2 linked regions of the Oryctolagus cuniculus genome follow. The protein of the gene in region 2 interacts with the protein of the main gene of each other region in a pairwise test. Links are inferred from orthologs where the notes say so. Each region holds a gene or a part of one and is shown on either strand. Other genes may lie near its edges.

What was found.
Region 1: the proteins of CHD3 (region 2) and SIRT6 interact in a two-hybrid assay, tested with the Homo sapiens proteins (2 studies listed by BioGRID and IntAct). The link is inferred for Oryctolagus cuniculus from reciprocal best matches to the Homo sapiens genes CHD3 and SIRT6.

Annotation. Positions count from the first base shown.
Region 1 is NC_091447.1:59,689,981-59,693,720, reverse strand, and holds the start of SIRT6 (NAD-dependent protein deacylase sirtuin-6), read left to right. Parts: upstream 1-1,216; 5' UTR 1,217-1,291; coding exon 1,292-1,357; intron 1,358-2,095; coding exon 2,096-2,223; intron 2,224-2,340; coding exon 2,341-2,523; intron 2,524-2,631; coding exon 2,632-2,691; intron 2,692-2,907; coding exon 2,908-3,003; intron 3,004-3,084; coding exon 3,085-3,165; intron 3,166-3,315; coding exon 3,316-3,439; intron 3,440-3,513; coding exon 3,514-3,740. UniProt on the Homo sapiens protein: NAD-dependent protein deacetylase, deacylase and mono-ADP-ribosyltransferase that plays an essential role in DNA damage repair, telomere maintenance, metabolic homeostasis, inflammation, tumorigenesis and aging.
Region 2 is NC_091448.1:52,452,920-52,456,190, reverse strand, and holds the end of CHD3 (chromodomain-helicase-DNA-binding protein 3), read right to left. Parts: intron 3,067-3,271; coding exon 2,569-3,066; intron 2,355-2,568; coding exon 2,228-2,354; intron 1,821-2,227; coding exon 1,580-1,820; 3' UTR 550-1,579; downstream 1-549.

The DNA of each region.
Region 1 (3,740 bases), on a different chromosome or scaffold from region 2:
CGCCCGGAGGGTCTTCATGCCCAGTGTCCCCCTCGCCTCGTCTCTCCGGGCCTCCTGGGGAGGGGCAGGGGTGGCAGGGGGGGCGGGACCCCACCCCGGAGGGCAGGGACAGGCAGGCTGGCCCCCACCGCCCCCGCTGGCCCTCCCGGGGCCCCCTCTGGGCAGAGGCGGGTTCCGGGACCCCACTCCCTCCCGTCCACCTGCGTGCAGGCCCGCGGGGCGTCTCCAGGGGGCGCTGCGTGAGAGGGGGGTCCCCGGGGAAGGACCACCCCTACCTGGGGGCCTCCTGCCAGGGAGTAGGGGCGGGGCGCCCTGCACCTGCCCGAGAGGCGGCCTGGGCCGTGGGAGTCCCTGGGCTCAGCGGAGGGGCCGGGGTCCTCCGTGTCCCCAAAGCGCCGGGCCGGGGAGGCAGGGTGGGGCTGCGACCCCCAGGCGCGGTGGACGCCGGCAGGTGCAGCTCGGCCCCGGCCCTGCCTCTCACCTAAGTGGAGCCCCCACCCCAGGCCCCTCGCCTACCTCCCGCGGCTCCGGTGCCCCGTGCCCACCGCCGGCTCCGGTTACCCGCTCCCAGCTGGGCCTGGAGCTGATACCCGCGGCTCCCGGCGCCCGGCTGGCTCCGACACCCGATCGGCCGCGAGGCTGGGGATGAGCGAGGGAGGGGACAGGCGGCAGCTGGGCTGCCCGTTGGCCACGAGGCTGGGGGGGAGACGCCGTGCTCCCCCCATCCCCACTGCTTGGGTTTCAGTTTCTGGAAGGAGCCACGGGCTGCCCTGGGCACCTCAGCCAGCTCCTGGCCTGCCTCCTCCAGGAAGCCTTCCAGGATGCCCCAGGCTGGGGCAGGAGCCCCCTCTGAGGCCCCTCACACAGTAGGTGCGCAGCATGCGTGACCTGTCCAGCTGCCTACTGGCCAATCCCCCGGGATAAGGCTCAGGGACCACAGAGCGCCCCCCGGGGACCCTAACTGCATGGAGTCCAGGGCACATCTGCGTCAGGTTCACTAATCAGTAAAAAGGGCAAGGGGCCCCCGAGCGCTGTGCGCCCTCATTTCGGGGCCACCTCTCACGCGGGAAGCCGCTGCAACTCCCCGCCCCCAGCCCAGGGGCTTGCAAAAGCCGGGCTCCCTCCCTGCCAGTACTTAAGATGGCGTCCGCGGCGTCAGCGCGACGCGCGCGCATGCGCCCCGGCAGGCGCGTCCGTCAACGCGGTTCCGCCTTCCTGCCCGCCCCACCCCGTTTCCGGCGGAAGCCGCCTCAACAAGGGAAACTTTATTGTTCCCGCCGGGGCGGCCAGGATGTCGGTGAACTACGCGGCGGGGCTGTCGCCGTACGCAGACAAGGGCAAGTGCGGCCTCCCGGAGGTGAGCGTGGCCGCCCCCGGCGGAGGTGAGCGTGGCCGCCCCCGGGGGGCCGCGGGCGGGGCATCGCGGGAACACCGAGGGGCGCCCGGCTGGACAAGGGGAGGGACTTCCCAGGGGGCGGGAAGTGACGCCCCCCGCGCGCCGGGGACCCCGAGCGCGGCTGCCCGGGGTGGGGGGGCTGGGCCGGGGTCCCCGGGGTGATGGGGAGGGGGCGCGAGCTGGGAGTCGGCCGGGAGGGCGAGCGGGGCGACCCCCGGCTTCTCCACGCCCCCCCCACTTCCTCCTGGGTCTCCACGCCCCCTTCCTGTGAATCGGGGTGGGAGGGGGCGAGGAGGGCCCCCTCCCCGGGCAGGCGGGCCCCGCTGCGGGTGCCGGCGGGAGCCCCACGCCTCGGGCTGGTGTGGTTCCTCCTGTCCCGGAACTCACTGGACACCTGTTGTGGGCCGGGCGCAGGCTGGGGGCTGGGGGCTGGGCCCGGAGCCTGGGGGCTGGGGGCTGGGCCCGGAGCCTGGGGTGGGGGGCGAGCCAGCCGAGCAGCTGCCACTCCAGTGCGGGCACAGACAGGGGGCGCACTGACACCAGCCCAGCTGGCGGGGCAAGGCGGCGGCGAGGGGGGCGGTCCCTGTGGACACGGCCCGTGCAAAGGTCCTGTGGCCAGCGGCGGCGCAGAAGCAGCGAGGGGGCCGGGGCAGGGGGCCACCGCGCTCGAGCCGCGCCCTCTGCGCCCCCGCCCGCCAGATCTTCGACCCGCCCGAGGAGCTGGAGCGCAAGGTGCGGGAGCTGGCCTGGCTCATCTGGCAGTCGGCCAACGTGGTGGTCCACACGGGCGCGGGCATCAGCACGGCTTCGGGCATCCCCGACTTCAGGTCAGTGGGCGCGGGAGGGCGCGTCGCGGCAGGGCCAGCGCCCGGGTCGCCCAGGGCGCCGCCAGCCCCGCCCCCCGCCCTGAGTCCCAGGCCCCCTCTCCCTGCGCGCCGCCCCAGGGGCCCCCACGGCGTGTGGACCATGGAGGAGCGCGGCCTGGCGCCCAAGTTCGACACGACCTTCGAGAGCGCGCGGCCCACGCAGACGCACATGGCGCTGGTGCAGCTGCAGCGCGTGGGCCTCCTGCGCTTCCTGGTCAGCCAGAACGTGGACGGGCTGCACGTGCGCTCCGGCTTCCCCAGGTACCGCCGGCCCCGGGGGGTGCGGGCAGCTGCGGCGCGCGAGCGGTCCCGGCAGGCTTCCTGGAGGCGGCGGCCTCGAGCCGGAGCCTCCGTCTGCCTCTCCCGCAGGGACAAGCTGGCTGAGTTGCACGGGAACATGTTCGTGGAACAGTGTGCCAAGTGCAAGACGTGAGTGGGGCCGTCCGCGGGCCGTGGAGGCCAAGTTCAGGGCCGAGGGCTGCCCCAGACCCAGAGCCCCTGTCTGAACTCCCGCGGGGCTCCGGGGCCGCAGGCGGAGCTGGGACCGGCCCCTCCCCCAGAGCAGGTGGCTCCAGGCGCCCAGGGACCCCGGGAGGGAGGGGCCGGGCCGCGCCCCCACCTCCCCGCACGCCCCTCCCCCCGCAGGCAGTACGTCCGCGACGCCGTGGTGGGCAGCATGGGCCTCAAGGCCACCGGGCGCCTCTGCACCGTGGCCAAGGCCCGGGGGCTGCGGGCCTGCAGGTGAGCCCCCCCCCGCCTCCCCGCCCCCCGCCCGCCCCCCAGCCGCCCCCGGCTGCACCCCCCACCCGCTCTGCCTTGCAGGGGGGAGCTGAGAGACACCATCTTGGACTGGGAAGACGCCCTCCCCGACCGGGACCTGGCCCTCGCCGACGAGGCCAGCAGGTCTGACCCCTGCCTCCCCGCCCCCACCGCACCCCCACGCGCTCACAGTGGCGGGGGGAGGAAACGGGGAGACACAGCCAGCAGGGACTTGGGCGAAGTCCGGGAGGGCTACCTGGAGGTGGCGGCCCAGCAGCCGGCTCCCCCCCCCAGGAACGCGGACCTGTCCATCACTCTGGGGACCTCGCTGCAGATCCGGCCCAGTGGGAACCTGCCGCTGGCCACCAAGCGCCGCGGAGGGCGCCTGGTCATCGTGAACCTGCAGCCCACCAAGCACGTAGGTGCCGCCCCGCCACCCGGCCCCCCGCCGCCGTGGCCGCCCCGCCTCACCCCTCTGTGCCCCCCCCGCAGGACCGCCATGCAGACCTGCGTATCCACGGCTACGTCGATGACGTCATGACGCAGCTCATGAAGCACCTGGGGCTGCCGATCCCCGCCTGGGAGGGGCCCCGCGTGCTGGAGCGTGCCCTGCCGCCCCTGCCCCGCCCGCCGGCCCCCCTGCTCGAGCCCCGCCCCCTGCTCAACGGCTCCGCCCCCAAACAGGAGCCCCAGCGCAGCCCCAAGCGGGAGGCGCCGGA
Region 2 (3,271 bases):
CCAGCCTGCGTTATCTGTCCTGAGTACGTAACTGTTGGGCTTGTCTCTGCTCTTTAATGATAGCCTCAAGAACTCAGTGTCTGGCCTCTCAGCCTCTGAGAGCCCCTGCTAGGGACAAGTGCGGCTGCCCAGTTTTTGGCAAGGCACACACACAGGTCTGACCCCATTAAAGAAGAGTGTGTCCCTTTGCTGCAGAGTGGAACTGAACCCGTGGGGCTGCAGTGCCCTCTACTGACTGCTCGGGGATCAGGCCGCACAGCTCGGAACCCCGCTGCGCAGCCTCCACCGCACCTCGCCCAGAAGCCCCGCTCCGCTGCGCCTCCCCGAGGCCACGGAGGCAGCCACCTCCACACTGAGCTCACCACGTGGCTAGGGTGGAAAAGGAGCCCCGCGTTTCCTGAATGATCCGAGAAATAAAAACGAAGAAAAGGAAGTTAACTGAAGATTTTTTTAAAATAAAATGAAAAAGATGGATAATATGAAATGGCAGAAAGCGATAACCTTTCTTAATCCCTTACCCACCCCCAGCCAAAAATAACAGAGCACACAGAAAGGAAAGTATAATTTATATGTACAACCAATAAACCTGATACAGAAGAGGGGATCGGGCAGACAGGAGCGGGTGTGGAGAGAGACTGGGAGAGGGGCAGCAAGAAGTGAAGGGGCAGCGCAGAAGTGGGGGGTTCGCCATGCAAACTGCCACTGTCCCCGACCCGTGGGGACGGGGATGTGCCCACATCTCCTGGCCTGCCCTCCACTATTTTGCTCTAGTCCCAAAGGCAGAACAGTCCCCTGACTAGGCCCCTTGCCTGACACACTCAAATGTGGTCTGTGTGCAGGCCCTCGGAGGGCGGGCAGAAGTCCTCCAGAAGCCGAGCCCTGGCCCCGGGCGTTCCCCCAAGGCTGGCCTGTGGTCTTCTCTCCCACCCTTTCTAGGTTACCTGGGTCCCTAGAACAGGTTGGGGAGCTCCTCTTTGGCTTGAGGGAGTATCGCCCAACCATTATTCTTTTTGTGTGTGGGGGGGTCCTTGGAGGGTTAAGAATCCCAACACAAGATGCCGGTACGCAGGAGGTAACAGCCAGTGAACGGCGCCTTTATTCTGAGGCTGAACAGCAATGGGCTCCCTCCCTCGTAACTGCTCCCCCCTCCGTTGGGGGAGAGATGGGGGGGTAACATGCAGCCACCCCGCCTCTTCCCTTTCTCCCTCCCAGCGTTCATTTCATCCCTCTCTAAAAGTCCCCCTCCTCTCTGCAAAGCTCTTCTTCCCCCACAAAATTTCCTAAAGGCCAGGCAAGGCTAGTCCCCTACGTCTGCAGGAGATGGAGCTGATATTGTGGTTGGGAGGGGGGGAGACCAGGGAGGCGCCGCCTCTTTCCTCCCCACAACCGCTTACTGGGAAGCTGCGTCTATCTGGCAGTGGGGGGATCAAGGTACACGAAGACCCTGCGAACAGTCCCCCACCCAGGGCTCTTCTCACCGGCACAGTCCTCAGAGCTCGGTGGGACAGGTGCGGGGGCGTGGAGAAAGACAAAGGGCCCTTCCTGAAGACAGGAGTTGCAGAGAGGGGCCGCGGGGCGCCTAGTCCAGCGGTGGCCCCAGGGGTGGGGAAGGCGGAGGGTCGGCAGCAGGCCCCAGAGCCTGAGCAGGGGGTCGGCCTCGGGGACGGGGCCTGGGTGAAGGGCAGGCCTGGGGTCCAGTCAGTCGTCTATACAGATCACCTCCCCGGCTCGGGGCTCCTTCCGATCCAGCCCGTCTGGCACCAGTGCCCCCACCGCTTCCTTCTCCTTCTTCACCAGCACTGGAGGGCCGTTGGTGGCGGCTGTTTGCGAAGCGGGTAGGGAGAGGTGAACCCTGCGGCACTCCCAAGGTCGCATCCCGTCTGTCAGTCTCCTGCCACATGGTTCTCCTGGGAAGGGCTGGGGAGGCCTGCACGGAGCCCTCCCTCCTGCTGAGGTCCCCTGTTGTGCCGCAGCACTGAGCTCCAGTTCCAGCTCTTTCTATACCATTCTGACGTCACCTTCACCTACCCTTGAAGGGCCCCGGATGCAAGAGGCTTGGGTAGGAGCTAACCCAGCCGCAAAACTACCAAAACCCTGGGTGAGGTTTTTGACAATGGGGATGAAGAGGGGTTAAGAAAGGGATGGGAAGAACGGAGCCCAGGCGGCAGGGATGCGCCTGGCAAGGGAGGAGGGGAGGGGAGCGGCGGGAGCAGAAACCACGGCTCACCTGTGATGAAGGACCCTGCAGGCATCTGGCTGTAATTGGCGCCTGCGGCGGCCAGAGCCCCTACGGGGGCGGCGCTGAAGGCCACCCCGTACCCCGGGGGTGTGGCATAGGGACCCGGGGGGAAGGCCTGGAACAGAGAGGAGTCAGTCAGAGTCAGTCCAGGGTCCTGGAGAGCCAGGAAGCTGCAGGGGCAACCACGCAGGCAGGGAGACTCACTCGGGGGTGATGACTGCGTCTAGCAAGTTGTTTTTCCACACTGTTTAGGATTCTGATGGAGGTGTTTACATGTGTGCGTGAGGAGCACCCACAGGGAGAACTGGAGTTAGGGGCAAGAGGGTTACCGGTGTGGGGTGCGGCTCCGCGCCCTTGCTGGCCAGCCGGCTGAGGATGCTGCGCTCGGACATCTGAAGGCGGGCTGCGATGGGGGGTATTCTGGACAGCGTGGCTGGCAGGCGGGTCACGTCCGCCTTCATGTCGCTCAGCAACTCCTCCAGCTGGTTCAGAACTGGGGCCCGGGCCACGGAGAAAGAAGGGCAAGAGAAAGACAGGGAAAGAGAGAGGTGGAGCCAGGAAAAGACAGGAGTCAGGTAGAGAGAGAGACAGAGAGAGACAGAGAAAGGGGGCAGGGGTGTCGAAGAGCCAGAGACCAAGAAAGTGACAGAAGTATATGGAAAAAGGAAAGCAACTCAGGGGAAGAGAAGAAGTGTTAGGAAAAGAGACAGAGACCAGGCCACCAGAGGACAGAGAGAGGAAGAAGGAAGAAAAGGAGAACGTGGAGAGGAGGGAGATGGGGGGACATTGGAAGACACGGGGGCGGGGAGTTGTCAGAACATCCCGTACTGGAAGAGTGAGGTTTGGGGTGGGGGAGGAGGGGAGGAAACGGCAGGGGCACGGGAGGCGGGAAGTCGTGTCAAAGACTTAAGGAATCAAAGCTTTAATATGTCAGGGAAGAGGGAGGTTAGAGGATCAGTAAGTACAGATTCAAAGAATTATGAGGGTCACAGGGGCCAGGAGTCAGTCCCTCCGCCAGGCAGGATTAGATGG